Linked DNA regions of Macaca fascicularis. The protein of the gene in region 1 interacts with the protein of each later gene in a pairwise test. Links are inferred from orthologs where the notes say so. Each region holds a gene or a part of one and is shown in the gene's direction. Other genes may lie near its edges. The genes, in order: FAM9B, LYRM2, TUFM, TRMT61B, CHRAC1, CCDC106 and RUSC1.

Region 1 (4,145 bases):
GACATGTATTTTTTGTATCATTTTGTTTTAGCTCCATTCTTACATACAGCATATACTTAGATTTTTATTTTGATCCAAGTTGGAAGTCATTTCCTTTAGATTCTGAGTTTATCTCATTCATATTTCTTGCTCAACAGATTCACTTGGCCTTAATTTTGTTCCTTTATGTTATGGTCTCTGGAGTATTTTCTTTATTTTCCAACTTTTACTACAGGATTTGTGTTCTTTGTGTGTGCTCTTTTTGGTTATATAGACATTTAAGGCTGTGGATTAGTTTTCCTGATGACTGCCTTTGTAATTTCTTTTCTTTTCTTTTTTTTTGAGGTGGAGTCTCGCTCTGTCGCCAGGGTTTCACCGTGTTAGTCAGGATGGTCTCGATCTCCTGACCTTGTGATCTGCCCGTCTCAGCCTCCCAAAGTGCTGGGATATAATTTCAATAATATAATGAAACTCTATATCTTGATTTACAAACTTTAGGCAATATTTATTTACTCCTAACTCCAAAACAACTCTCCCCCTATTATAGGCGACTGGAGGTGGGAAAAAGCTGAGTTAACGATAAGTATTAAGGCATTAATTTGTGGGTGAAGGTTGTGGCATATGTCTGGATAAGTCTGGAGCATGAGGGTTTGTGGGCAAGTCTGGGGCATGAGGATGAGAAAGAAAAGTAGTGAGGAAACAAAAATGGTTATGGGCAGGGCACGGTGGCTCATGCCTGTAATCCTAGCACTTTGGGAGGCCAAGGCGTGCAGATCAACTGAGGTCAGGAGTTTGACACCAGCCTGGACAACATGGTGAAACCTCGTCTCTACTAAAAAAAAAAAAAAAATTAGCAGGGCTTGGTGTTGGGCTCCTGTAATTCCAGCTCCTTGGGAGGCTGAGGCAGGAGAATCACTTGAACCCGGGAAGCGGAGGTTGCAGTGAGCTGAGATCACCCTGCTGCACTCCAGCCTAGGCGATAGAGTGAGACACAGTCTCAAAAACAAACAAAAACAATAAAAGCACAATCCATTGATTGAAAAGGATGCAGCTGGGCATGTTGGAAGCACACAGGGCATGGGAGGGAGCCTGGGCCCAACCCATAGGATGATGGCCATTCTAGCCAAAGGGGCAGGGGTGGCTGGAAAGAGCCCCAGGGCGAGGTTCTAGGCCCTGTCCACTTGGCCTCCATACCAAGTCCTGTGTCCCTCCCCAGGAGCAGAAGCTGAAAGAATGTGGGAACAGAGGCCCCAAAGGGCCAACCCCACCTCAGTCCACAGCAACCACTTGCTGTCACTTAGGGGAAGGGGGAGGGCGTGCCAGCAGGGGGCGTGGCCCCACACGGCCTGTCACACGCATGTGCACTGAGTCGACCAATCTGCGAGGAGCGTAGGAAGTGCTGTCGGCAGCTCTCACGAGAACTGAGTACTTGTTTTCTTTTTTGTTTTTTGTTTTTTGTTTTTTGAGACAGTCTGGCTCTTGCCGCCCAGGCTGCAGTGCAGCCGCGCGATCTGGGCTCACTGCAACTTCCGCCTCCCGGGGTCAAGCAATCATTCTGCCTCAGCCTCCTGAGAGGACCCGTTTTCTAAGAGATCCTAGTGGTGCTGTTGTCTGCAGGTTCTTTGAGGGCGCCACATCAGGGGTCCCTCAGGTGAAGCGCTCGCGGTGGGGAGGCGGAAACGCAGGCACGAGGCCCTCTGGGAACCAGGGTGTGAAGCGCTGGGCCGCCCGCTGACCTGTGAGGAAATGCCCCTGGCGTGGTCGCCTGGGGCCTGGGTCAGGGCGAGGCCCTGAGGGTGGGCTGGGGTGGGCCAGGGCAGGGAGGGAGCTGGAGCCGCCTGGGTGATCCCTAGGGCCCAGGAGGGCTTGTGCATGTGTTGGGGGGAGGTGCGGAAGGTGGGGGGAAGTGGGGGTGGGGCGAGGGTGTTGTTGGGGACAGTCTGAGTGGGGCCCTCCTGCCCGGCCTCCCGTCAGGACAGGACACTTGGGGTCATCAGGGGTCCCCTGTGCATCCAGGCGGGTGAGTGACAGTGCAGCCCCTGACATTCCTCTGGAGGTGGCTGGGGAGATCCTGTGTCACCCGGTGGCCCTCCCAGCCACACGGGGTCGCTGGGGGACCCAGAGGTAGGGCTGAGTTCTGTCCCAAAGGTGCGGCGAGGATCCCGCAGACGCCGTGGAGTTCAGGTGTGAGGGGCAGCTGTGAGCTCTGCAGCCAGCCCCGGGGACGGGCTGGACGGGCTGGACGGGCCAGGACAGGAGGGGACACTGGCATCTTTTCGGTCCCCTCCTGCTCCCACAGGAGGCCCAGGGCGTGCCAGCCCCACCCTTCTTAAACCTGTGATCCCAATGGCTTTCCTTTCCGATGCCAGGGTTCCTTTGCTTCCTTAGTGTGCCTTTGCCCTCATCAGGTTCAGGGATCACCTGTAGCTTCCCAGGACAGCCAGCCACGGATCCTGTGGGCAGGAGGGCTGCCAAGGCCCAGTTGGAGGCTCAATTTATGGCGGCCCAGGGGAAGGAGCGTGCAGGTAAATACAGCCCAAGGTGACCCGGAAGAAAGTGCACGCCCAAGAGGACGGTCTGTCTGCTTTCTGCGCTGGGGGCACAGGGGTAGCCCAAGGACCCGGGCCCCTTCGTGGCTTTGGAGTCCATCGTGCACGTGCTAAGATGCCCCAGGTTTTCAAAGCAGGCTCAAGGGCCTTAGGCTTCCCGTAAAAGGCTCCCCTCATAGCGGGGTTACAGATGCTCCCAGAGCAGCTCTTCTCCATGAGTGCAGTCATGACATCCAAGGGGTCTGACGTGTAGTACGTTGTTTACTGGGACTTGAACCCGAAGGGCTTCCAAAAGTGCCTTGATAAAATGGTCAGAAGCCGGTGATTCCATGTACAGCTCTGCTTTAAAGCCTTAATTGGCAGATAGCCAAAAAAAAAAAAAAAAAAAAAAAGTCTACAACTAGTACATTTCTCCACAAAAAAAGTCCACAACAGTGTCTTCCTCTAAAAAAGGTTTGTCTTTTAAATTTTAATGCAGGAAAGGATCCAGTCAGTGACGAATGTGAGGAAAGAAACCCTTTTACAGAAACAAGGGAGGAAGATGTAACTGATGAGCATGGGGAAAGAGAACCTTTTGCTGAAAAAGACGAGCACACGGGGTAAAGTGTTTAAGTCACTTTTGCCTGTCGGATAGGGTCTTTTAGGAAAAGTCACCTTTGGACCATGTCATCACTGTTCTATTCTGTGCAGAACATTTCACATAAGACATTTCTTTTCCCAACAAACATGGCATTTTGTGTAGTATTATGCTAAAATTTTGATGTAACTTTTTTTACAGGGCTAATACCAAGAAGCCAGAAGATACTGCAGGTATATTTTAGGAGTTATCTGTCGTTTATGAAAATTGTTTTCAATCATGCAACTGTTGCAGTAAGTTATATGAATCAGTGGATGACAAGACTGTCTTAAATGGCTTATCATATGTAGCATTTAACATACGTATTTAATGTAATCTGTTTGATAAATTTTTCTTACCTCTTTGATTGTTGATGTGGAATGTGAGAATGCTTCTAATAATGGTGAAGCGAGATGGATGGCTTTTCTTTCATACACGTGGAAATTTAATTGTTTGGAGAATATTAGAGGACATTGGAGGAGAAATAGCTCTATTCGTTCCTTTTAGTGTACGCAGATTAAGTCATATATCAGGTTTTTTTTAAGCTTTCACTTTAAGTTTGGGGGTACATGTGCAGGTGTGTTATATAGATAAATTGCATGTCACAGGGTTTTGGTATACAGATTATTTTGTCACCCAGGTTATAAGCATAGTACCTGATGGGTGGTTTTTGATCCTCACCCTCCTCCTACCCTCCACTCTCAAGTAGGCCCAGTTGTCTGTTGGTCCCTTCTTCCTGTCCATATGTACTCAGAGTTTTTAATAAGAGTTTTTCATGTTCTTAATTTAGCTATTCTATTGTCACAGCTTTCTGATTTTGTTTTATTTGAAGTACAAGAGAAAATTGAATTCTCTAAAATCATTTTCTATTATTATTCCAGTAATAAACTGTGTAGTACAAAAGTAAGGACAACTTTTCTATCTAGTGAGAAACATGTAATTGGATCCAAAAACTCATAAACTTTATATTGCTGTGTGAAATATTAGTTGCACTGTTATAG
Region 2 (4,074 bases), on another chromosome or scaffold:
AAATCAGTATAATTTTAAAAGGCAAGGGGTATTTAACTTCACTCCTTTTAAAAAGTTAGTTAACTATTACAGCTAATGTATTAGACAAAATTTGATATATATATTATTGATAAGATGGTCATGCAGTTAGCATCATTCATACAATGCCTGGTAAAGTTCAAAAGAACCAATGATTAGAGTTCTTACATGTGCCAGGACCTGTTCTCAGTACATTAGAGATACACAACTGAGGTAGATGCTGTATTTCATTTTACAGGGGAGGTAACAGGCCAGGAGAGGGGAAATAGCCAGAACATAGCTAGGAATAGGGAGCCCCAGGATGCCAACAGGCGAGGCAGGCAAGTCCCCAGTAAACTAAAAATTGAATGAAATTTTTGGTTTTATTTTAATTCGATACAACACTACTTGGAAAATTAATATAGCAAAGATTCGCTAACTCCACTTCTGGTGATTTAACCTGAAGGTGTGTGGTGTGTATTGTGGGAAAGATAAAACAGCTATGAGGAAATAAAAGCAAAAGCCTGAGGCTTAGGGATGTTAGGCTCCTCGTTATTAGTGATGAAAGTGCTTAAGACTGCAGTGGAGCAGCCATTCAGAAGCTTTGTTTCAAAGGATCATGAAGACCACCGCTCCCGGAAAACGCTTGCGCTACAAAAGAACAGGACGAAAACGAGAGAGAAAAAACCAACAAAAATTGTAAAAGAAATCAACACTTTCAATTTTAGTATTTTCAACTATACACATTTTTAAAGGCTCGAAAGAACATTCAAATACGTTTTCACCTCTTTCCCCCAAAAAAACCTTAACTTTTTTTTTTTTTTTTTTTTTTCCCGAGACAGGGTCTCGCTCTCGCCCAGGCTGGAGTGCAGTGGTGCGATCTCGGCTCACTGCAACCTCCACTTCCCGGGTTCAAGCGATTCTCCCGCCTCAGCATCCCGGGGAGCTGGGATTACAGGCACCTTACAGGCCTCTCAAAGGTCTTGGGACTGCAGGCAAGAGCCACTGCGCGGCCTCCTTCACTTTCATTTGAACACTCTTTACCAAGAACTGTGCTAAGTGTCCTACCTTTCTTTCGTTATCGCAACGACCCTATGGTGCACTGCTATCCTATTTTACCGACGAGAAAACCGGCCAGCGCAGCCCATAACCAGCTCCTAACCCTAGGGCTCAGTCCCGAAGTCTCGCGCTCAGTCAGAGCGCAACCCCGGGCCGTCTCCTAGGAAACCGGGCTCGCCACACCCCTTGGTTGGACTCCACTTCCGCTTCTGCGCGCTGAGGCTCCGGCAGATCTCTGGCTGACATGGCTGCCTCCCGCTTACCCCCAGCGACGCTAACGTTAAAGCAGGTACCGGCGGTTCTCTGCCTTCCAGAGCAGCTTACCTGGGTCTGAGCTTCTGGATTCTCCATCTCTCCCTCCACCCAACGGGGCGGGTTCCGGGGTCCTGACGCGCCGTGCGCGCCCTCTGAGATTGGCCCGATGCCTGCGGGGCGGTGCTTCGCTTCGCGGGGCCTGACGGGAGGCACGGGCGGCTTGCTTGGTTTGGTGCGGTCGCGTGAGACGCGTCAGGTGCTTGATTTCCCGGAGTCCCGGTGCATCAGCTGCTCAGTGCCCACGGTAAAGACTACTCTCTATTGCACTGAGCTGTAGCAAACGGCAAATGAGATTACCAAAGATTTGAACAACTGTTAATTTAGAAAAAGTGCTGTCGTTGTAATAACAACTTCTAGGAGACTGGCAGCCCTTTTCATCCCGGTAGTCAGCTGATTTTTTAATGGTTCTTAGATTTGACAGAGCAGTAAGCAGAAAGATCAGATGAACCTCGTGATGCTTTCTTTAAAACATCTTTTTGAGACAGGGCCTCACTCTCGTGCAGGCTGAGTGCAGTGGCACAATGAGGGCTTACCTCAGCTTAGACCTCCTGGGCTCAAGTGGTCCTCCCATCTTGGCCTCGAAACTGCTGGGATTACAGGCCTGAGCCACTGCACCTGGCGGAAAAAGAAAAAAGTTTTTCTTTGCCTTTTTCAAAATTGACCAACGAGGACTCTGGTTGCAGCTCGGTTTGCTGAAGTAGAACTTTTCAGGCTGGCGATTGTGCAGAAGTAATTGCTATTGCTCCTCCCTTTTACAGTTCATAAGAAGGCAACAAGTTCTTCTCCTCTACAGAAGGATTTTGCAAACAATTCGGCAAGTTCCAAATGATTCTGATCGCAAATACCTGAAGGATTGGGCAAGGGAAGAATTCAAAAGAAACAAAAGTGCCACCGAAGAGGTGAGAACAAAATCATGGCGAGGACAGATCCTAACCCTTTTTATTGATCAGTGAATTTTTTTTTTTTAAGTTTAGCAGACATCTTGGAATATAGTGCCACTGAGTTGGTATATCTTGATCATTGCTTGTAATGTTACCGATTTTAAATGATGTTTTAAAATTTAATATTGCTGTATCGACACTCTTCAGCATTATCACGACTTTTATGTTGTACGTTTTATGTGTATGTATGTGGAAATCTTTCGTCTTTTCTAAAAGACAGCAGTTCAAATACGTACTATTGGTTGTTGATTTTAACAAAAAAACGGTATAGCTATACCTTGTTTAACCAGGTAAAACAATAACCAGATTTCACTTTATTCTACAGGATACAATCCGGATGATGATTACTCAAGGCAATATGCAGCTCAAGGAGTTAGAAAAATCACTTGCTTTAGCAAAATCTTAACTATAGCATTATTCTGAAGGATTTTCAAAGTCTCCATGTGTTTCGTTGCATTTAGGATTAACAATGGACAACACAAAGCCCAGTCTTTCTATTTGTATGTACAGTATTTGGTGATAGACAGCAAAGGAAAACACATCAAAACAGTTGCCTTAACACTGAAAAACATACCCTGCATTTTGAAAATGTTTATGGATGTCTCAGCAGTTTTTAAAAGAAGAAAAAACCACTAACAAATGGCCAGTAGATGCTGGACACAATCATTAGGGAAGTATAAATCAAAACTACTAGGAGGCTGAGTACAGTGGCTCACGCTTATAATCCCAGTACTTTAGGAGGCTGAGGTAGGTGGATCACTTGAGGTCAGGAGTTCAAGACCAGCCTGGCCAACATGGTGAAACCTCATCTCTACTAAAAATACAACAATTAGCTTGGCGTGGTGGTGCATGCCTGTAGTCCCAGCTACTTGGGAGGCTGAGGCAGGAGAATCACTTGAACCCAGGAAGTGCAGGTTGCAGTGAGCTGAGATCGTGCCACTGCACTTCAGCCTGGGTGACAGAGTGAGACTCTCCAAAAAAAAAAAAAAAAAAAAACCTGAAATTCACATTCACTAGAATGGCTGTAATTAAAAAGAGAAATAATAGTAAGTGTTGGTGAAGATGTACAGAAATTAGAGAACCCTCATACATTGCTGGTGGGAATGAATGTAAAATGGTGTAGCCACTTCAGAAAACAGACTGTCAGTTCCTCAAAACATGAAACAGCTGCTGTATGATTTAGCCATTCTACTCCTATGCCCATAGCTATTATTTGGCACTAAAAAGAAACAAATGACTTATATATGTTAAACTATGCTAAACATGGATAAACCTTGAAAACGTTAAGTGAAAGAAGCCAGTCACAAAAGATCACATGATGATTCCATTCATATGAAATGTCCAGAATAGGCAGGAAGATTAGTGGTTGCCTAGGCTTGCTGTAGATGAAATGGAGTAACTGCTAATGGGTGTAGGGTTCCTTTTCAGGGTGATGAAAATATACTACAGTTAGCTTGTGGTGTAGGCTGCACAACTCTGAATACACTCAAATCCACTGAATTGTACATTTTAAATGTAAGGTATGAGTTGTATCTCAATAAAGCTGTTATTAAAAAAAAAAATACTCTGAGGCGTAGGACTGAAAGTATACTGACACCAGGAGATACCCTGGAACTTTCCCGAAAAATCCTGCATTATCCCTGAGGGTTGTTCAGATACGTTCTTCACATGTGTCATAGTTTGGTAGAGGACTCATCAAAAAGATCACCACTGGGCATCTAGATCTTTGCTGGAAAGAGAAGAGAAAGAGAAGCTTAATGAG
Region 3 (3,958 bases), on another chromosome or scaffold:
GGAAGGGTGTTTGTTACATAGCTTCCCAGTCCGTGCATAGACCCGACGGAATCATATCTCCAGGGAAGGAATTAGGGAATCTTTGCAACACTGTCCACTGAGTCTCAGGATCTGATGAGTTCCGAAACATAAATCAGGGTTAAGCAACCACAATTAACACTTCGGAGTGCCATGTGGAAGCTGCCATAAGATGATGGATGTGGAAGTTAAGGGACATTGACTACCCTTGCACTCATTAATTCAACGTTCACTGCATGCTCCACCCTGTTAGGTGCTGGGGCCACAGACAGAATAAAGGAGACTCAGGCTGCCCTTAAAGACTCCCCTAGCTGGCTCCTCATCCTTGGCTCCTCATCTGCAAAATTAGATGGGTGGCGCGATGCCCAAAGGAATTGCTCCTTAGGCTGCTGAGGGGCTACAGGGTTGGGCAGCGAAGCTGTCTGTCTTGTGGGCTCTGGCCCTGTGAGGTCTAGCAGTACAAGGTCCCAGCAAGCTGCCTGACCTCACGGGGCCCAACCCTGACTCCTACCCAGTTAATCTCCTCTCAGGGCCAGAGGTCAGGCTCTCCCTATGAAGTGGATCCTACTATTCCCATTTTACAGATTAGAAAACAAAGCCTCAGCGGAGAGAGAGGTCACACTTCACCCCATCCCCGAAAGGCGTCCAGGACCTGGTCCCCTACCTCCAGCTACGGCAGAAGGGGCCAGATATCTCGCAAGACCCGGGTAGCGAGTCGGACTCCAGACGACTCGGGGTCTCTCTCTGCCGGGCCCAGCTGGTTCCTGAGCAGTCGGAGCCGCAGCTGCCTCCCCGAGCCCGAGTCCCTCCCTCCGGGTCCGGCCTAGCCCGCCTGACTCCCATGCTGAGCACCTCCACAGCCCGTCGCCCTGACAACTAGTACGCCCATGAGCCTTCGCGGCGCCGGTGCTTTAGGGGACGCTCCCCAGTGCCCCCCGCGACCGACAGAGAGAACTACGTTGCCCCTCAGCCCGTGAGGCCCGAGTGGTGGAAACCCTCTCCATCATTCTCCGCCCCCGAGACACCAGCCCCCTCCATGACGTCTTCAACCGCGCGCCCGACGTCGGCGGAGACGGCCATAGACACTGGCGGCTAGAGGGGCCCGGACTTGCCCTCCCAGTCCTTACTTCCGTCGGAAGTGCCTTCCTGCCGCAGGCGCCCTTTCTCTGCTGCACGCTCGGGCTCCTGGGCCCCGTTCCCCGGTTCCTGGGGCGCGAGTATGACCACAATGGCGGCAGCCACCCTGCTGCGCGCGACGCCCCACTTCAGCGGTGAGGAGTCGGGGAGGGCGATGGCGGCCCAGGAACACTTTGGGGGTGTGGTAGGTGGCTGGGTTCGGTCTGACCCCTGCCCTGCCTGACTTCCAAGCTTCGGTCCCGGCAGGTCTCGCCACCGGCCGGACCTTCCTGCTGCAGGGTCTGTTGCGGCCGCTGAAGACTCCGGCATTGCCTCTCTTGTGCCGCGGCCTGGCCGTGGAGGCCAAGAAGACTTACGTGCGCGACAAGCCACATGTGAATGTGGGTACCATCGGCCATGTGGACCACGGCAAGACCACGCTGACTGCAGCCATCACGAAGAGTGAGTGGGGTTGGGGCGTCCAGTAGCGCCTTATCTACTGATGGGACCTGGAGCCAGGGGGGCAAGGCTAGCAGAGTGTCTGCTGGAGGTGTTTACTGTGGCTCCAAGAGCAGAGGCTGTACCCCAAAGAAGTCACAGGGCAGACCCTAAAGGCCCCCTAACATTCTTTCTGACCCACAGTTATCTCTGCTGGAAGAGTTAGAGATTGGAGGAGGTTATGTATTTAGGTGGGAGGGCTCAGGGGCGTGGTCTAAGCTCTGCCTCTAGCACTGCAACTTTAGCTGAGAGGTGTGTTCTCTTTCTCCTTTAGTTCTAGCCGAGGGAGGTGGGGCTAAATTCAAGAAGTATGAGGAGATTGACAATGCCCCGGAGGAGCGAGCTCGGGGTATCACCATCAATGCGGCCCATGTGGAGTATAGCACTGCCGCCCGCCACTACGCCCACACAGACTGCCCGGGTCATGCAGATTATGTTAAGGTGAGGGTTGCTGGGACACTGGAGACAGGGCCAGAAGCTGCCTCTTGTCAGGATAAATGTTAGGCTTGTGGGGAGGAGATTAAAATATTCAGTGTTTGGATATGAGATGGCAGGTTTGTGGCCATGGCCACTCAGAATGGGTGGTGAGGAGATGATAGAGAAAGGTGGGCCTGAGATTCTAACTGCTACACTTGCCTATATGGATGTGGACTGAAAAGCTCGTTGAACTTGGCTGTTTCCTCTCCTCCTCCTCCCCAGAATATGATCACAGGCACTGCACCCCTCGACGGCTGCATCCTGGTTGTAGCAGCCAATGATGGCCCCATGCCCCAGACCCGAGAGCACTTATTACTGGCCAGACAGGTACTCAGAGCCTGGGTAAAGGTGCAGAGGGGAAGAGTGGGGAGTTGGGCCCCTCTGGATACTGTCCCTGTCTCTCTGCTGTCTACAGATTGGGGTGGAGCATGTGGTGGTGTATGTGAACAAGGCTGATGCTGTCCAGGACTCTGAGATGGTGGAGCTGGTGGAGCTGGAGATCCGGGAGCTGCTCACCGAGTTTGGCTATAAAGGGGAGGCGACCCCAGTCATCGTAGGCTCTGCTCTCTGTGCCCTTGAGGTGAAGGCCGGGTCAGGCAGGGTGGCTGCTGCAGAGGGTGGGGCTAGATGGGCACCCAGAGCTCTGCTTTGTGTCTGGGAAGTGGCTCTTGATAATCGAGGGGAGTAGAATGGGGATTTCAGAGTCCTGTTGCTTCCCCTCAACAGGGTCGGGACCCTGAATTAGGCCTGAAGTCTGTGCAGAAGCTACTGGATGCTGTGGACACTTACATCCCAGTGCCCACCCGGGACCTGGAGAAGCCTTTCCTGCTGCCTGTAGAGGGGGTGTTCTCCGTCCCTGGTGAGGACTCTGCCTGTTCCCACGCACTCTCTCTAGCAGCAGCCTAGCTCGGGGTCCCTGATGTCCTGTCTTATTCCCTCTCAGGCCGTGGCACTGTGGTGACAGGTACGCTAGAGCGTGGCATTTTAAAGAAGGGAGACGAGTGTGAGCTCCTAGGACACAGCAAGAACATCCGCACTGTGGTGACAGGTACGGGAAGCCAGCCTGGGGACCAGGGGCTGACTGCAGGATGGCCTTACCCCGGCAGATCCCTTGTACCTTCCCTCCATCTTACACTCGCCTTCCTTCTCCCCACTCCTTTTCCCCTTTCCTCCTAGGCATTGAGATGTTCCACAAGAACCTGGAGAGGGCCGAGGCCGGAGATAACCTCGGGGCCCTGGTTCGAGGCTTGAAGCGGGAGGACTTGCGGCGGGGCCTGGTCATGGTCAAGCCGGGTTCCATCAAGCCCCACCAGAAGGTGGAGGCCCAGGTGAGGGCTCCAGGTGACGGTGGGCAGGGCTGAGCCAAGCTGTCCCCAGCATTCCAGCCGAGCCCATCTCACCCTCATTGTTCACTCTCCTCCAGGTTTACATCCTCAGCAAGGAGGAAGGTGGCCGCCACAAGCCCTTTGTGTCCCACTTCATGCCTATCATGTTCTCCCTGACTTGGGACATGGCCTGTCGGGTTATCCTGCCCCCAGAGAAGGTACGGTGGGTGGGAGAAATGTAGGGTGGAGGGAGCACTTTTTATATCACCTTTGCTTCACTCATAGTTCCAAAGACACACTGTGACAACCCAAGTGACTTTATTTCCTTAGGTGGAAAGGGGCTGCTTGTCGCTGCTAGCCAACAGAAGGGGCATGGCCCATGGACTTAGGGGCGGGAGTCCTCATCCAGCGTGCCCTAAGCTGAAGCAGGTTAAAAGCTTAGCTCTGCCAGCATGTACCCACAGAAAGATTTCCTAGAAAAAGTCTCTTCTTTCTGAGAGTTTCACTATGTATGAAAGCTTAGG
Region 4 (4,140 bases), on another chromosome or scaffold:
CCTTGTGATCCCCCCGCCTCAGCCTCCCAATGTGCTGGTATTACAGGCGTGCACCATCGCGCCCGACTAATTTTTTTTCCCTGAGAGGAGTTTTGCTCTGTCGCCCAGGCTGGAGTGCATTGCAGGGATCTAAGCTCACCGCAACCTCTGCCTCCCGAGTTCAAGAGATTCTCCTGCCTCAGCCTCCCGAGTAGCTGGGATTACAGGTGCGTGCCACCACGCCCAGCTAATTTTTGTATTTTTAGTAGAGACGGGGTTTCACCGTGTTGACCAGGCTGGTCCCGAACTCCTGACTTCAAATGAGCCGCTTGCCTCGGCTTCCCAAAATGCGGGTAGGCTAGTGATATTTAACGTTAGATAACTTTGGCCTCCAAAGATACCTGTTTCCATTTTAAGACACTTCTATTTAGTTTTGGGAGGGTAAACTAGTTATATTTTAATAATGAAAACATCTGTTACATAAGCACATAGTGAGTACTCTAATCGACCTTCTCGGACTCTCCGGGCGTGAGGGGTGGGTGAGGGGACCGGCAGGCTGTCACAGCCCCTTCAAAAGGGACTTGGGGCTGGGAGATGTCGCAGTCAACTGGGAAAGGAGAGCCAATCAGCAACTGGAGCGTCCCACGCCGTTTGTCAAATGCATCTCCGGATTAGCTCTACTCATACGTATATCTTGGGGGTGACTAGGTGATGTCCGTGTTCAAGACACTAGCGTGCTAAGCCTGGCATTTCAGTTTGCACAGCGCTGTAAGTTTTGTCTCAATCTTCCTGACCGCCAGCGAACCTGGAGGACGTCTGTTAGCGGTAAATTTATTTATTTATTTATTTATTTTGAGACGGAGTTTCCCCTTGTTGCCCGGGCTGGAGTCTAACTGCGCGATCTCGGCTCACCGCAACCTCTGCCTCCCAGGTTCACGCGATTCTCCTGCCTCGGCCTCTCTAGTAGCTGGGATTACAGGCATGTGCCACCACGCCTGCCTAATTTTGTATTTTTAGTAGAGACGTGGTTTCTCCAGTTGGTCAGACTGGTCTCGAACTCCCGACCTCAGGTGATCCGCCCGCCTTGGCCTCCCAAAGTGCTGGGATTACAGGCTTGAGCCACCGCGCCCGGCCAGCGGTAAATTATTTACCCACATTCCGAAAAGGAAAACGGGCGCCCGCGCGCAAGGACATACTCCTTGATGGTCACTCAACCAGAACGTCGCTGCTCCGGCGCCACTGCTCGACCTAGCGCACCGCCCCCTCCCCGACGCGGGCGCCGTCGGGCTGCTGCGCCATGCGCGCGACAGGGAAAGGAAGGGTCGCGCTAGGTTGCGTCACTCGTCTGCGACGGCGCCTGCGCAAAACACCATGCTGATGGCAAGGTGCAGCGGTCCTGTCTTGCTCTGCGTGCGGCAGGGACTCGGAACCAATTCATTCTTGCGCGGCCTAGGGCAAGAGCCCTTCGAAGGAGCTCAGTCACTGTGTTGCAGGTCCTCGCCTAGAGACCTGCGAGACGGAGAAAGAGAGCACGAGGCGGCACAAAGGAAAGCCCCAGGAGCAGAGTCTTGCCCATCTCTCCCTCTGAGCATCTCGGACATTGGGACCGGATGTCTTTCGTCACTGGAAAACCTCAGACTGCCTACTCCGCGGGAAGAGTCATCCCCTCGAGAGCGCGAGGACTCGAGTGGAGACCAGGGCCGGTGCGGTCCGGCACACCAGATATCCGAGGATCCTTCGATGCTCTCGCAGGCCCAGTCTGCTACCGAGATCGAAGAGCCTCACGTCTCCCCTTCTTGTTCAACTTCCAGACAGAGACCCTTTCAGGTTGGGGAACTGATTTTAGCTGAGACTGAGAAGAGAGAAACACAATTTAAGAAATTATTTAGATTGAACAAAGTTGGACTCTTAAATAGTAGCTGGGGGGCAGTCCCGTTCAGCAAGATCGTGGGCAAGTTTCCCGGCCAGATACTGAGGAGTTCCTTGGGTAAGCAGTTCACGCTGAGGAGGCCAGCATTGGAAGACTATGTATTATTGATGAAAAGAGGGACTGCCATAACAGTCCCAAAGGTAATGTGATGGAGATAAGGTGTGTATTGTTTCCAGGAGGAGCAAAGACAGATGCAGTACTCAGTCCTGATTAATGTACTCAAAGCATATCTCAGAACGTTTGGATTTTTTATTGTACTCAGGCTTTTAAGATAAACCAATGGATATAACTTTTACATATCATGATGAAAATTAGCATTAGGAAACGCCCAGATTTTAATTTTAACTTGGGAGTCTCGATTCCCCTTTTTTTAAAATGTGGATAATATTTCAACTTTCTGTTAGGGTGATGTGAACTCATTAGGTACATAGTAAGTACTAATTTTGTTCCCCATTACTCTTAAGTTTACAACTTCAGGACTCAAGAGAATGTTGAACTCTTAGGGAACAATTTTTTAGTACTACTATGATGATATTTTAATAATATTTAATAATCATGTTACAAGAGTATATTTTATCAACAGTAGATACATTATGGTGCTTTTTCCTTTAGGGAAGAAATAGAGTTTTATGTTAAAATAGCTAACATTCAACACCAAACATAAAATGACGTCTTTATTAAAAAGTTAACTGCCTAAAGCCTAGTTTCAGTTTTTGTTTTTGTTTTTGTTTTTGTTTTTTTTTTTGAGACAGGTTCTCACCGTGTCATTCAGGCTGGAGTGAAATGTTGCGATCTTGGCTCACTGCAACCTCTGCCTCCCAGGTTCAAGCGATTCTCCCACCACAGCCCCCTGAGTACCTGGGACTACAGGCATGTGCCACCACCCCGGGCTAATTTTTGTAGAGACGGGGGCGGGGCGGGGGGCGGCAGGGGTTTCACCTTTTTGCCCAGGCTGGTCTTCAACTCCTGGCCTCAAGTGATCCGCCCACCTCTGCCTCCCAGTGCTGGGATTACAGGCGGGAGCCACCGCGCCCAGCCCTAGTTTGAAGTTTATGCTAATCATCTATTGCTAGCAGATTATTTCAATCCTTAGTCACAGTCACAGTCCTTGAGTAGAATGTTCCTGTGTAACACAACTCCTCCTTTCTCCAGATCAGGATTCGTTCATTATTTATTCAGCAAATGATTGACTGCCTTACATACTCAAGGCACTATTTAGGGAAGTATAGTGTTGAACTGCAGTCCTCACTCTCAACATAGACCTTACATTCTAGAAGGGGTGACAAAGAACAAACAAGTAAATGAAAGAATAAGGTCATTTCCAGTAGTATTAAGTGTCATGAAGACAAATACATTAACAATGACATTGGGGTGACCTGGGGTACGAGCATACTTTATGTCAGGTGAGTAGAGATGGTCTCCAAGGAGGTACACTTGATAGGAAACCTAAATAAGGAAGAGCTTGCCTTGTAAAGATCTAGGATAAGAATTGTTCTTGCAAAGGGAGGAATACTGCAGAGTTTCTGTTGTGGCCTCTGGGTCAGATGAGGGTCCCTCTATGAGGTGTGGTTTGAGTATTTTATTCCATTTGTAGTGAAGGACCATTAGAAGTTTCTGAGTAGGAATCCAGTCTGTATTTTAAATGGTCTACCCAGGGACTAAGAAAACTTTCCTCAGAAGCTTAGGCTACTGAGGTATAATAAGCTTTTTTTTTAAAGACAGGGTCTTGCTATATCACCCAGGCTAAAGTGCAGTGGCTCAATCACCTCTTACTGTAGCCTCAACCTCCCGGGCTCCAACAATTCTCACACCTCAACCTCCTGAGTAGCTGGGACCACAGGTGTATGCCACTATAGCTAATCAAAAAAAAAATTTTTTTTTTAGTGTTGGGGTCACCCTAACTTGCCCAGACTGGTCTCAAACTTCTCTAGGCTCAAGGGATCCTCCCTTGAGGGTGCCGGGATTACAGGTGAGAATGACCGCTCCTGGCCATGGTATCGTAAGCTCTTGAAGAAAACTAAAGACTTTTGTAATTTTATCTTGCTTCCCCATGTCTCCTTTCTCCCCATTAGACAAAATGAAGAAAGATTAGTTACATTTCATGAAGTTATAAATAGGCATCCTTAGTGTACTTTCTGCCTTTCCATTTGTTACAGATATAAGTCACATTGTTCTACTCTAAGGAGGAATTTAAGTACTAAATTTGTTAGGTGTTGACTTCTCTTTATAGC
Region 5 (4,059 bases), on another chromosome or scaffold:
GCTGCTGTCCCCTTGGTACCGCCGGCCTCCTGAGGGCCAAGTTCCTGGGTTCTCGTAATCATCTTCTACCTGGTCTCTGTGACTCCGCCCTTAAGCGCACCCACCCCCTCCCAGCCCGCAGCTGCAGGGATCCTTTAAAAACTGCCCGGGCCGGGCGCGGTGGCTCAAGCCTGTAATCCCAGCACTTTGGGAGGCTGAGACGGGCGGATCATGAGGTCAGGAGATCGAGACCATCCTGGCTAACCCAGTGAAACCCCGTCTCTACTAAAAAATACAAAAAATTAGCCGGGCGTGTTGGCGGGCGCCTGTAGTCCCAGCCACGCGGGAGGCTGAGGCAGGAGAATGGCGTGAACCCGGGAGGCGGAGCTTGCACTGAGCTGAGATCCGGCCACTGCACTCCAGCCTGGGCGACGCAGCGAGACTCCGTCTCAAAAAAAAAAAAAAACTGCCCGGGACTCCTTTGCTCAAACCCTACCACGACTTCCCATTTTTTTTTTTAGATAAAAAAAAAAAACCAACAGGACCTAGCCCCGGGCTGCCTGTCAGACCTCAGCGAGCACGCCAGGCTCTGCACACCGTCTCTCGGAGCAGCCCCGAAGAGGCTGTTCCCACCAGGCTCTAGGACCTCCTCCGGGCAGCTCCCCGCCCTTCACCCCCAATGAAGGCGCCTCTCCCCATCACCCCGCAGCGCAGAGCGGTGCAGCAAGCCCGGCCCCGCCGCATGGCCCGTGCTGGTCTCTGCTCTTCCACCGGCCGCGTGGCTACCGGCGCAGGACGCATCTGCTGCCGCTTGGTCGCCCCCCCAGAAATTTGTGCTTCAGGAAAGCGTCACTTTTGCCCACGGCGGCACGCCCGGTCCTAGCACAGCGCAGGCCCTTAACACACAGCACCGAGCGACGAGGCCCGGACTCAGAGGGTTTTGCTTGCCCATTCGCAGAGCCCTCACCCGGATCAAAATCGTAGTCCGCGATCGCAGCTCGGAGACTCCCGAGAAGTGCGCGCCCCCGCAGCGCCCCGACCCCCGCCCCTCACTAGACTCTGGACTCCTGGCTCCACATCAGGTCACACACTCGGTTGGGGGGGAGGAGCCGAAGGGCGGCGCATGCGCAGATGGGGCGCGCGAGGCATCACGGAGCTCGTAGTCTCCCGGACGGGCCGCTCCAGGCCTCGCGGCGGCGCCTCCCCACACTACAACTCCCACGGGGCAGCGGGCGCGGCTCCCCGCACCCACCGGCTGGCCGGCAAGGCAGCCACTTAGCAGTCGGGCCCGCCGGCTGCCGCCCGCGCGAGGGGCGGGAAGATGGCGGACGTGGTCGTGGGCAAAGACAAGTGCGGGGAGCAGCGGCTCATCTCGCTGCCTCTATCCCGCATCCGGGTCATCATGAAGAGCTCCCCCGAGGTGTCCAGCATCAACCAGGAGGCGTTGGTGCTCACAGCCAAGGCCACGGTGAGGGGGTAGGGCGGGGGTGTGAGCCGCCCTTACCCGTCGCGCCCCGCCCCGCCGGGCTCCGGGCACTGCCCATTCCCCTTGGGCCCGCGCGCCGCCGGCTGCCCTTGCTGGGCTCGCGCGCGCCCCGCTGTCCCCGTCCCACGCCGGCGCGCGCCACGGTGCCCCCGCGCCCCTACACTTTCTCGCGCGTCTTCGCCCCGCCCACCCCGCGCCGCTCCCTCCGGTTCCCGAGTTTTTTCGCCCCGCCTACCGCGCGCCTCTCCCGCCCTTTCTCTCCTTCCTTCGCTCCGCCCGCCCCTCCCTTCCTTGTGCACCTTCGCCCCTCCCACCCCACTGTCCTCCCGCCATTTCTCGCGCGCTTCCGTCCGGCAAACCTGTAAACTCCCGCGTTCCTCTGCGTGCCTTTCGTCCCGCCTACCTGTACGCTCCCGTCCTCCCTCGCGTGCGGCTCGCAGTTTCCGGCTCTACCCGTGGGCGTCGGTGTCGAGTGGCGCTTTTCTCGTTAGGTTTTTTTGGGGGCTTTTTCGCCCGAGATTCCCACTCCCGGCGTTCCTTTTCTCGTCACTGGCCTGCTTCGTGCTTTGGGGACCCTGACTCCTCCAATGTCCCGTGGGAGGTGCAGCCAGGCGCTTCACCCGCCACTCGAGGCTTTTTTCCCCGTAGGTGCGGTGCCAGCTCCAGCGGTCCGAGGCTTTCGAGCCCACCCGCCCGCCACACCTGGCCCCTCGTCTTAAGAGGCAGCACATACCGCAACCAGAATTTAAGGAAGTCCAGGGAACTTAGTTTTACAGCCTGTTTAGCATCCTCTTGGGTGCAAAATAGTTAATTTTGTCTTTTTTTAAGAAATTGCGTCTTGATAGTGTTAGGCCAGATGTTTTCCTGTTCTGAAACTGGGCCATGTTTCAGCTACACAGTTAAATGCTTTGGCTTGCCTTGGATTCCATTTTCCAGTCCCTACTTGTAGTTAAGTATATGATGTTCCGACAGTATTGGACTAGAACTAAGGGAAGTGGGAAATTACAGGTTTCTTGCCCGCTTTATATCAGAGCCATGTTTTCCTAGAGCCCAGGGAAATAATTGCATATTCAGCAATTATTGCACCTACGCCACAAACAGCCAGAGGGAAAGTGACCCTGGGGTCATCTGGGGGCATTTGTGTTTTCCTGTACAGTTTCATTCTGTTGGTATTAAGGAATGAGGATTTATGCAGGCACTTCTGATCCCTTATTTTCTGAGATGGAGTTGCCCAGGCTGGAGTGCAGTGGCGTGATCTCGGCTCACTGCAACCTCTGCCTCCCGGGTTCAAGTGATTCTCCTGCCTCAGCCTCCTGAGTAGCTGGGATTACAGGTGCTTGCCATCACACTTGGCTAATTTTTGTACTTTTTGGTAGAGACAGGGTTTCACCATGTTGCCCAAGTTGGTCTTGAACTCCTGACCTCTCGTGATCCGTCTGCCTCAGCCTCCCAAACTGCTGGGATTACAGGCCACCATGCCTGTCTTTCTCATCCCTTATTAACTGAACTAGATGCATTAAAGTCAAAACCTTGAGAAAGGCTCAGTTCAGCCTCTGTAAAAATGAAGACTTGGGCCTGCTATAAGAACTGGGGTGCAGGAGGGAGAAGATGATCAGTTCCGGTTGTTGCATTAGGTCTGAGGATTGTACGTTAGTTTCTAGAATAGAAAAGTTTCGGCAAAATGTGAGTTGTGGTCACTATAGTTGTAGGTGAACCACCTTAGAAACAGTGTATGCAAATAGAAGACTAAAAATGTATTACTGAGCCAAATAGAATTTTTGAATGGCTTTTTGCTTCTTTTCTTTCTTTTTTGAGACAGTCTCGCTCTGTCTCCCAGGCTGGAGTGCAGTGGCGCGATCTCGGCTCACTGCAAGCTCCGCCTCCCGGGTTCACGCCATTCTCCTGCCTCAGCCTACCCAGTAGGTGGGACTACGGGCGTCCGCCACCATGCCCAGCTAATTTTGATTTCGTATTTTTAGTAGAGACGGGGTTTCACCGTGTTAGCCAGGATGGTCTCGATTTCCTGACCTTGTGATCCACCCGCCTCGGCCTCCCAAAGTGCTGGGATTACAGGTGTGAGCCAGCACTGCTGGCCGCTTCTTTTTTTACTCTAGAGGTTGGCCATTAAACAGTTATGATTAATCTTTTTCATAAGTTAGACATCTAAAGCCTCTGGAAAATGCCTGCTTCTCTGCCAGTTTTGATACCGGCTTTGCTTTCTTTCTGACCTCATGTTTTTCTTTTCCCCAGTGATTGATTTCTTTCTTTTCTTTTTTTTTTTTTTTTGAGACGGAGTCTCGCCCAGGCTAGAGTGCTGCAACCTCCAACCTCCACTTCCCAGGTTCAAGCGATTCTCCTGCCTCAGCCTCTCAAGTGGCTGGGATTACAGGCACCTGCCACCATGCCCAGCTAATTTTTTATTTTTAATAGAGATGGGGTTTCACCATGTTGGCCAGTGTGATCTCAAACTCCTGACCTCAACTGATCCGACTGCCTCAGCCTTCCAAAGTGTTGAGCCACCACACCCGGCCTCCGCAGTGATTTCTTGTAATTTAAGAAACCAAGATAATCTGAAGTCTTAATGTAATTTTAAG
Region 6 (2,917 bases), on another chromosome or scaffold:
CTCAAAAACTCCCACATCTCTCTTTGTGAATTCAACCTTTTCCCTCAAAAACTTGGGCAAGGGGCCTATGGTCTCGTGGTGTCTGTTACTGGGAACCCAGCATCTGGGGATCTGGCCTTCCCTCTGCTCTGGAACAAACCGCCTCTGACTGCCCTTGCCTGCCACTGTCTCCTCCCACTGATGGCTCCATGCTGGGTGACTGACTCCTTTGCACAGATGGTTTGGTCCTGCGGCCTCGGCACTTTCCCAGTGGGGACCCTGGCACCAGACCCCTCTCCTAAGCCGCCTTCTAGAGGACCCTGTGTCTGGGCCTCCGCCAGCCAGCTCCCTCTGTCTAGATGGAGGTGGAACTCATCCTGCTGGACCCAGGACCCCTGATTTCTCTCAGGGTCTGACCCCCCGACTCCAGCCAAGGCCTGGCCTGCCTCCTGGGTTTACAGAGGCCACTCTCCGGAGGTCCCACCCAGTCCCCAGAAATCTCTCCCTCCCCTGTGGGAACCGCATATACTCACAGGGGTCCTGAGGTCCCTGGTCGGCTGCCTCCCCAAGACCTCTTGCCAACCCAAGCCTCTGAGAAAATGCTGCACCCATTACTACCTCCCACAGACCCCAGCAGGCTCTACTCAGCCACCAGCATCTCTACTGTCCTCCCTGTCCGTTTCTTCAGGGGACCAGCCCAGGTTGGGGGATCCAGTACTGGGGACTGCAGCCTCTCTCAGTCCCAGGACCTGTGATGGGATGTCTGGTCCCATAGTTCACGTGTGTGTCTCTCTCCCCAGAGGACCACTGCCGGATGAAGCCTGGGCCCAGGCGGATGGAGGGGGACAGCCGGGGTGGGGCTGGGGGCGAGGCCTCGGACCCTGAGTCAGCAGCCTCCTCCCTCAGTGGAGCCTCCGAAGAAGGCAGCGCCAGCGAGAGGAGGCGGCAGAAGCAGAGGGGAGGTGCTAGTCGGAGGCGCTTTGGGAAGCCCAAGGCCCGGGAGAGGCAGCGAGGTGGGTGAGGTGCATGGCGCGGGCGCTGAGGGGCCTGGGCTGCTGAATTGCTGTGTGTCCTTCCCAGAGGCCCTCCTTTCTCTCCAAGCCCCTCCAGCTTTGCTGGAGAAAGACCCACCGGGTTCTGTCTCTCCCTCCTCCCTTGTAATCCTGGGATTACAAGGCGTGAGCCATAGCGCCTGGCCTGTCCTGGGTCTACTTTAAGTTTTGGTGAACCCTCGAGGGCAGGGCCACCTTGGGCACCTCCTTAACCTTCATCGGTAAGAAGGAGGTGCGCAGTAGGACCTACCTCGGGGCGGGTGAGGCTTGAATAAGTGAATTCACCTGAGGCAGGGAGGTGAGGGTGATGGCTGGGCGTGGTGGAGAGGCGGGCGGGGGGGGCGGTGTTGTTGCTGGGACCGCGTTGGTTGAACCCGGCCTCTCGGCTCATGTTCTCTCCTCACCCCCCTTCCTGGGCCTGCCTCTTCCCATTTCCCACTGGTCCAAGTACTGGCTGCGCTTCTTCCCCTCCTCTCCGCCCCTCCCTTCCCTGTTCTCCGTATCCTCCTGCACCGCCAGTGCCTCTGCTCGCCGGGATCCTTCCTTCCCATGGCCGTTTCCCTTCCCGTGTCCGCCCCCTCGGTCTTGGCCCCTGCTCCTCACTTCCGTGTCCCCGCCTCCGCCCCGCAGTGAAGGACGCCGACGGGGTCCTCTGCCGGTACAAGAAGATCCTGGGCACCTTCCAGAAGCTCAAGAGCATGTCGCGGGCCTTCGAGCACCACCGCGTGGACAGGAACACCGTGGCGCTGACCACGCCCATCGCCGAGCTGCTCATTGTGGCCCCCGAGAAGCTGGCCGAGGTGGGCGAGTTCGACCCCTCCAAGGAGCGCCTGCTCGAGTACTCCCGTCGCTGCTTTCTGGCCCTGGACGACGAGACGCTCAAGAAGGTGCAGGCGCTCAAGAAGAGCAAGCTGCTGCTGCCCATCACCTACCGCTTCAAGCGGTGATCGCACCACGCCTCCGCGCCTCCGCCCGGGCCTTCCTCCCCCGCCGACCCCGGCCCTCCCCAGGCCCCCGGTGGATGACCTGCGCCTCTCCCTGCCGCGCCCCTGCCCCTCCTCCTCACTCCCTGGGTTGGGGGCTCCCTTAGCCCGGCCCCCAAGCGCGACGGCCCAGGGCCGGCCGCAGCCCCTTCCCGAACGCCGGCATCCCCTTCCGCTTGGGCTGCCCAGCCCTGTCCTCGCCGGACCCCTTCCTCCTGGAAATCAACCAGGCAGGAGGGTGCCGCCCCCCTCTCGGGTGGGGGACTGTATAGACCCCGTCTCCGCCCCAGCCCCGCGGAGGAGCTGCCCACCTGATTCCCGGACAGACCTCCCCAACTCCGCGCGAGACAGAGAATTATTCAGAGAATTTAAATTAAAAAACGACGTGAAAATTTGGAATAAACTGGGCCTCAGCCTTTTCCTAGGAGGGGGACGTGCCTGGGAGGGGGAGGCCGTCGCCCCGACGACGGTGATGGGGTTGCTGGGGCTTCCAAGGGGGTGGGCGGTCAGGCGGGAGGCCGGGTAGGACAGGGTGTAATTAGCCCCCCGGAGGCAGAGACGGAGAAACAGCTGTGCCCCTGAAATCTTGGAGGCAGAGCTCTGGAAAAGAAGCGCGGACACAGCCGGGTGCGGTGGCTCACGCCTGTAATCCCAGCGCTTTGGGAGGCCGAGGCAGGCGGATCACGAGTTCAGGAGATCGAGACCGTCCTGGCTAACACAGTGAAACCCTATCTCTACTAAAAATACAAAAAATTAGCCAGGTGTCCCAGCTACTCGGGAGGCTGAGGCAGGAAAATCGCTTGAACCCAGCAGGCGGAGGTTCCAGTGAGCCGAGATCTGGCCACTGCACTCTAGCCTGGGCGATAGAGTCTCCGTCGCAAAAAAAAAAAAAAAAAAAAAGTA
Region 7 (4,029 bases), on another chromosome or scaffold:
ACAGGCACCAGCTTCACTCCTCCTCTGCCTAGGAACCTCATCCTTCCTCCTTTGCTGCCCTCCCCCTTCCCGCCCAGGATGACTACCTTGACCTCTTTGGGGACCCCAGTGTGACCGGCAAAGTTGGCACTGACATCCAGGACAACAAATGCAGCTGGCTGGTGGTTCAGTGTCTGCAACGGGCCACTCCGGAACAGTACCAGATCCTGAAGGTGCCTGAGAGAGGGTGGTGGGTCCCTGAGCTGGTGGAAAGGGATAGAGTAGTGGTTCTCAATTGGAGGCAGTTTTTCTCCCGAGGGGACATTTGGCAATGTCAGCAGACATTTTTTGTCATCGTCATCACAACTCTGTGTGTGTGCATGTGGTACAGCCATCTAGCTGGCAGGAGCCAAAGATGTTGCCAAACATGTAGCACACAGAACAGCTCCCCCAGACAGGATTATCTGGCCCCAAATTTCAATAGTGCCAAGGCTGAGAAACCCTGGAGTAGAGGACACCTGGTCTGAGGCAATATGTAGGGAATATTTGGGATAGGGAAGGGAAGCTTGGGATCCTAGCTACCTAGAAACACTTGAAAATTGGAGGGAGGAAAGGAGTGGGTGGCTTTGGAGATGTTCTGAAATATGAGAATGAGGGGAGTGGAGGGGTCCTGGAGGCTCTGGGGAAGGCCAAGCCCGTTTTCCTGTCTTCCAACCCCTTTTAGGAAAATTACGGGCAGAAGGAGGCTGAGAAAGTGGCCCGGGTGAAGGCACTATATGAGGAGCTGGATCTGCAGGCTGTGTTCTTGCAATATGAGGAGGACAGTTACAGCCACATTATGGCTCTCATTGAACAGTACGCAGCGCCCCTGCCCCCAGCCATCTTTCTGGGGCTTGCGCGCAAAATCTACAAGCGGAAAAAGTGACCTAGAGATTGCAAGGGTGGGGAGAGGAGGCTCTCAATAAATAATTGTGTAACCTTTTTGTGGTTCTGTTCTTGCTCGGCGCAGCCAGAGTCTGGCTCTTTCCAGAATGTGCGGGGTGGGGTGCTGGGAGGACTCGCTGCACAGAAGCGGGACCCAGGGGCCTTGGCATCAGGGCCAAAAGCTTGGGATACATCAAACCCGCTAGGTGGGTGACACAAGACGCTAAGCGCTGGGGGCGGGTCTGAGCTACGCCACGCCCATGCGCGAAGGGGTGCAGATGCGCTGCGCAGAGTGGGTTGTGCTAGTGCCCCTCCCCTCCCGCTCTGTGCCCCGCCGGGCGGGGACCGTGGGAGCCGAGGACAAGCCCAAGGCCGGAGCGGTTCCAGGAGGACCCTGGTGAGGAGGGCTCGGCCCATGGGTGTAGACCGATGGACCAGGGCACGAGGGGCGGGGCAGGACAAGGGAGCAGGAGAAATGAATAGAGAAGGGGTGCGGTGGTGACTGAACGATGGAGACGAATGCGGAGAGAATGGACATAACGCTGTTCTGAGGGGCGAGGGCGCAGGCTGGAGCCCGGCGGAGGCAGCCAGCAGATGTGGAGTTGACGAGCTGACGGCTGCTCCATCCTTTTCCTCTCCAGCTCCTACCCCTTTCCTGCATTCACCAGGCAAACTCTGCATATCGACCCACCCCCATCCCCCGCCTCCTTTCAGGGCATCTGGGTGGGTCTCCCTGGGTCCCTTCCTGTGGGAGTAAGGGGTAGGCAGGAGGGCAGGGCCAGATTGCGGCAGCAGGGACCCGGAGGTCCATTCTGGGCCCGGACCTGTTCCGGGCCCCCGCCCCCCTTCGGAAATCCAGAGCGCAGCCGCGTTCTCTGACCCTCCCGGCTCCATTCCCGGAGGGTTACATTCGACTCCACCTGCAAACACTGCAGTGGAAACTAATGGCCAGTCGATTGCGATTTGCATCTCATTGAAATATCTTCCAAAGCAGCCAGAGCCTTCAGGCCTGCTGCTGCCGTCAGTCACCTCAGTGTCCTTCCCGCAGCTCCTGTCCTCACTGGCTGGGCTTCGCCACCCCTGTCTTCTAGGTCTGCACCTGTGGTTGCCAGGTAGGTGGATGTGAGAGACCCTACCCTCCTGGTTCTCTAGAAGCCATCCCATCGCCGCTGGCACCATGCTGTCTCCTCAGAGAGCTTTACTCTGCAACCTCAATCACATCCATCTCCAGCACGTCTCCCTGGGCCTGCACTTGTCCCGCCGTCCTGAGCTACGGGAAGGGCCCTTGAGCACATCCCCTCCCCCAGGAGACACTGGGGGCAAGGAGAGCAGGGGCCCCTGCAGTGGCACCCTGGTGGACGCCAATTCCAACAGCCCAGCTGTGCCCTGCCGGTGCTGCCAGGAGCACGGTCCGGGCCTAGAAAACCGGCAGGACCCATCACAGGAGGAAGAGGGGGCTGCCTCTCCCTCAGACCCAGGCTGCTCTTCCTCGCTCAGCTCCTGCTCAGATCTTAGCCCCGATGAGTCCCCCGTCTCAGTCTACTTGCGGGACCTCCCTGGTGATGAGGATGCCCACCCTCAGCCCAGTATCATCCCCCTGGAGCAAGGTTCCCCACTGGCTTCAGCAGGCCCTGGCACCTGCTCACCGGACAGCTTCTGCTGCTCTCCTGATTCCTGCTCCGGAGCTTCTTCTTCACCCGATCCTGGCCTGGACTCGAACTGCAACGCCCTGACCACCTGCCAGGACCTCCCTTCCCCAGGCTTGGAGGAAGAGGATGAGAGCGCGGAGCAGGATCTCCCTACCTCTGAGCTCTTAGAGGCGGATGATGGGAAAATCGACACTGGGAAAACGGAGCCCAGTTGGAAGATTAACCCAATTTGGAAAATTGACACAGAGAAAACTAAAGCTGAATGGAAAACCACGGAAAACAGTAACACTGGTTGGAAAAACAACGGGAATGTTAACTCTAGCTGGAAAAATGAACCTGAAAAATTCGACTCTGGTTGGAAAACCAACACAAGAATAACTGATTCTGGCTCGAAAACAGATGCAGGGAAAATTGATGGAGGATGGAGAAGTGACGTCAGCGAGGAGCCGGTGCCCCACCGGACAATCACGTCCTTCCACGAGCTGGCCCAGAAGCGCAAGCGGGGCCCAGGGCTGCCCCTCGTCCCGCAGGCCAAGAAAGATCGCAGTGACTGGCTCATAGTCTTCTCGCCCGACACCGAGCTGCCCCCCTCGGGGTCGCTGGGCGGCTCCTCGGCACCTCCTCGGGAAGTCACCACCTTCAAGGAACTCCGGTCCCGAAGCCGGGCCCCACCCCCGCCAGTCCCGCCTCGAGACCCCCCAGCTGGCTGGGCTTTGGTCCCGCCCCGGCCCCCACCCCCGCCTGTCCCTCCCCGAAGGAAGAAGAACCGACCTGGACTGCAGCCCATAGCGGAGGGGCAGTCCGAGGAGGGCCGGGCTGTCAGCCCAGCGGCTGGCGAGGAGGCCCCAGCCGCGAAGGAGCCGGGAGAGCCGGGCGCGCAGGCCGGCCTGGAGGGTAAGAGGTCGCAAGAAGCGGGAGGAGGGCTGGGCTTCGGCCGCTCACGCCTCCTAGGCTTCCAACCCGGCCCCCTGTCTTCCCTCCATTCTGTGTCACCCATCCTCCCCGCCCCTTCTACCAGGGAGCGCTCCGGGAAAGGGAAACTGGGTGGGTCATTGGGTTACGGGACTAACTCTTTGCTCCCTCTTCTTCCCGCCCCTCCTTGCCTGGCTGCCCATCCCGCTGCCCTCCTTCCCTCTGCGCCTGGCCCCGCCAATCCCGCCTGCAGCCGGTCCCCTCCTGCTCCCTCGGCCCCTGGTTTTCCGGTTCTCGGCCGACGGGCGCCCCCTGTTGGAGGGTGGGGGCGCAGGCGCAGCTGGGTCTCTGCTCCTGGCTCCTCTGGCCGGGTGGCCTGGCGCCGGGCTGCGGCTGCTGGGGGCGCCGAGCCCCCCAGAGGAGCAGCTGCTGCCCGTCCGCCTGTCCCCAGTGGGAGCCTATTCGCCTCCGACTCGGGGAGCCTTGCCCTGCCTGGCCAGCCCCGAGCTGGCACTGCTGCTGTCCCCGCTCTTTCCCAGAAGTAGCACCTTCCCCGCCGCGGCTC

What was found.
Region 2: the proteins of FAM9B (region 1) and LYRM2 interact in binary tests that used the Homo sapiens proteins (3 or more experiments, as listed by UniProt). The two-hybrid records come from large-scale screens. The link is inferred for Macaca fascicularis from reciprocal best matches to the Homo sapiens genes FAM9B and LYRM2.
Region 3: the proteins of FAM9B (region 1) and TUFM interact in binary tests that used the Homo sapiens proteins (3 or more experiments, as listed by UniProt). The two-hybrid records come from large-scale screens. The link is inferred for Macaca fascicularis from reciprocal best matches to the Homo sapiens genes FAM9B and TUFM.
Region 4: the proteins of FAM9B (region 1) and TRMT61B interact in binary tests that used the Homo sapiens proteins (3 or more experiments, as listed by UniProt). The two-hybrid records come from large-scale screens. The link is inferred for Macaca fascicularis from reciprocal best matches to the Homo sapiens genes FAM9B and TRMT61B.
Region 5: the proteins of FAM9B (region 1) and CHRAC1 interact in binary tests that used the Homo sapiens proteins (3 or more experiments, as listed by UniProt). The two-hybrid records come from large-scale screens. The link is inferred for Macaca fascicularis from reciprocal best matches to the Homo sapiens genes FAM9B and CHRAC1.
Region 6: the proteins of FAM9B (region 1) and CCDC106 interact in binary tests that used the Homo sapiens proteins (3 or more experiments, as listed by UniProt). The two-hybrid records come from large-scale screens. The link is inferred for Macaca fascicularis from reciprocal best matches to the Homo sapiens genes FAM9B and CCDC106.
Region 7: the proteins of FAM9B (region 1) and RUSC1 interact in binary tests that used the Homo sapiens proteins (3 or more experiments, as listed by UniProt). The two-hybrid records come from large-scale screens. The link is inferred for Macaca fascicularis from reciprocal best matches to the Homo sapiens genes FAM9B and RUSC1.

The regions. Positions count from the first base shown.
Region 1 is NC_088395.1:8,685,657-8,689,801, reverse strand, and holds the start of FAM9B (protein FAM9B), read left to right. Parts: upstream 1-1,345; 5' UTR 1,346-1,630; intron 1,631-2,387; 5' UTR 2,388-2,476; coding exon 2,477-2,504; intron 2,505-3,006; coding exon 3,007-3,127; intron 3,128-3,306; coding exon 3,307-3,338; intron 3,339-4,145. UniProt on the Homo sapiens protein: May play a role in meiosis.
Region 2 is NC_088378.1:85,747,372-85,751,445, forward strand, and holds the start of LYRM2 (LYR motif-containing protein 2), read left to right. Parts: upstream 1-1,274; 5' UTR 1,275-1,300; coding exon of another isoform or gene 1,301-1,345; 5' UTR 1,346-1,477; coding exon 1,478-1,615; intron 1,616-2,129; coding exon 2,130-2,270; intron 2,271-2,637; coding exon 2,638-2,718; 3' UTR 2,719-4,074. UniProt on the Homo sapiens protein: Involved in efficient integration of the N-module into mitochondrial respiratory chain complex I.
Region 3 is NC_088394.1:27,625,553-27,629,510, forward strand, and holds the start of TUFM (elongation factor Tu, mitochondrial), read left to right. Parts: upstream 1-1,158; 5' UTR 1,159-1,237; coding exon 1,238-1,289; intron 1,290-1,401; coding exon 1,402-1,596; intron 1,597-1,906; coding exon 1,907-2,073; intron 2,074-2,331; coding exon 2,332-2,436; intron 2,437-2,524; coding exon 2,525-2,689; intron 2,690-2,835; coding exon 2,836-2,968; intron 2,969-3,052; coding exon 3,053-3,157; intron 3,158-3,285; coding exon 3,286-3,437; intron 3,438-3,532; coding exon 3,533-3,652; intron 3,653-3,958. UniProt on the Homo sapiens protein: GTP hydrolase that promotes the GTP-dependent binding of aminoacyl-tRNA to the A-site of ribosomes during protein biosynthesis. Also plays a role in the regulation of autophagy and innate immunity.
Region 4 is NC_088387.1:93,349,334-93,353,473, forward strand, and holds the start of TRMT61B (tRNA (adenine(58)-N(1))-methyltransferase, mitochondrial), read left to right. Parts: upstream 1-1,340; 5' UTR 1,341-1,350; coding exon 1,351-2,049; exon of another isoform or gene 2,050-2,068; intron 2,069-2,661; coding exon of another isoform or gene 2,662-2,691; exon of another isoform or gene 2,692-2,813; intron 2,814-4,140.
Region 5 is NC_088382.1:150,110,869-150,114,927, forward strand, and holds the start of CHRAC1 (chromatin accessibility complex protein 1), read left to right. Parts: upstream 1-1,259; 5' UTR 1,260-1,300; coding exon 1,301-1,447; intron 1,448-4,059. UniProt on the Homo sapiens protein: Forms a complex with DNA polymerase epsilon subunit POLE3 and binds naked DNA, which is then incorporated into chromatin, aided by the nucleosome remodeling activity of ISWI/SNF2H and ACF1.
Region 6 is NC_088393.1:63,605,755-63,608,671, forward strand, and holds the end of CCDC106 (coiled-coil domain-containing protein 106), read left to right. Parts: intron 1-779; coding exon 780-992; intron 993-1,661; coding exon 1,662-1,978; 3' UTR 1,979-2,417; downstream 2,418-2,917. UniProt on the Homo sapiens protein: Promotes the degradation of p53/TP53 protein and inhibits its transactivity.
Region 7 is NC_088375.1:105,801,481-105,805,509, reverse strand, and holds the start of RUSC1 (AP-4 complex accessory subunit RUSC1), read left to right. Parts: upstream 1-1,229; 5' UTR 1,230-1,300; exon of another isoform or gene 1,301-1,994; 5' UTR 1,995-2,080; coding exon 2,081-3,446; intron 3,447-3,717; coding exon 3,718-4,029. Other genes in the region: FDPS (farnesyl pyrophosphate synthase), read left to right, coding at 78-212, 704-904. UniProt on the Homo sapiens protein: Associates with the adapter-like complex 4 (AP-4) and may therefore play a role in vesicular trafficking of proteins at the trans-Golgi network. Signaling adapter which plays a role in neuronal differentiation.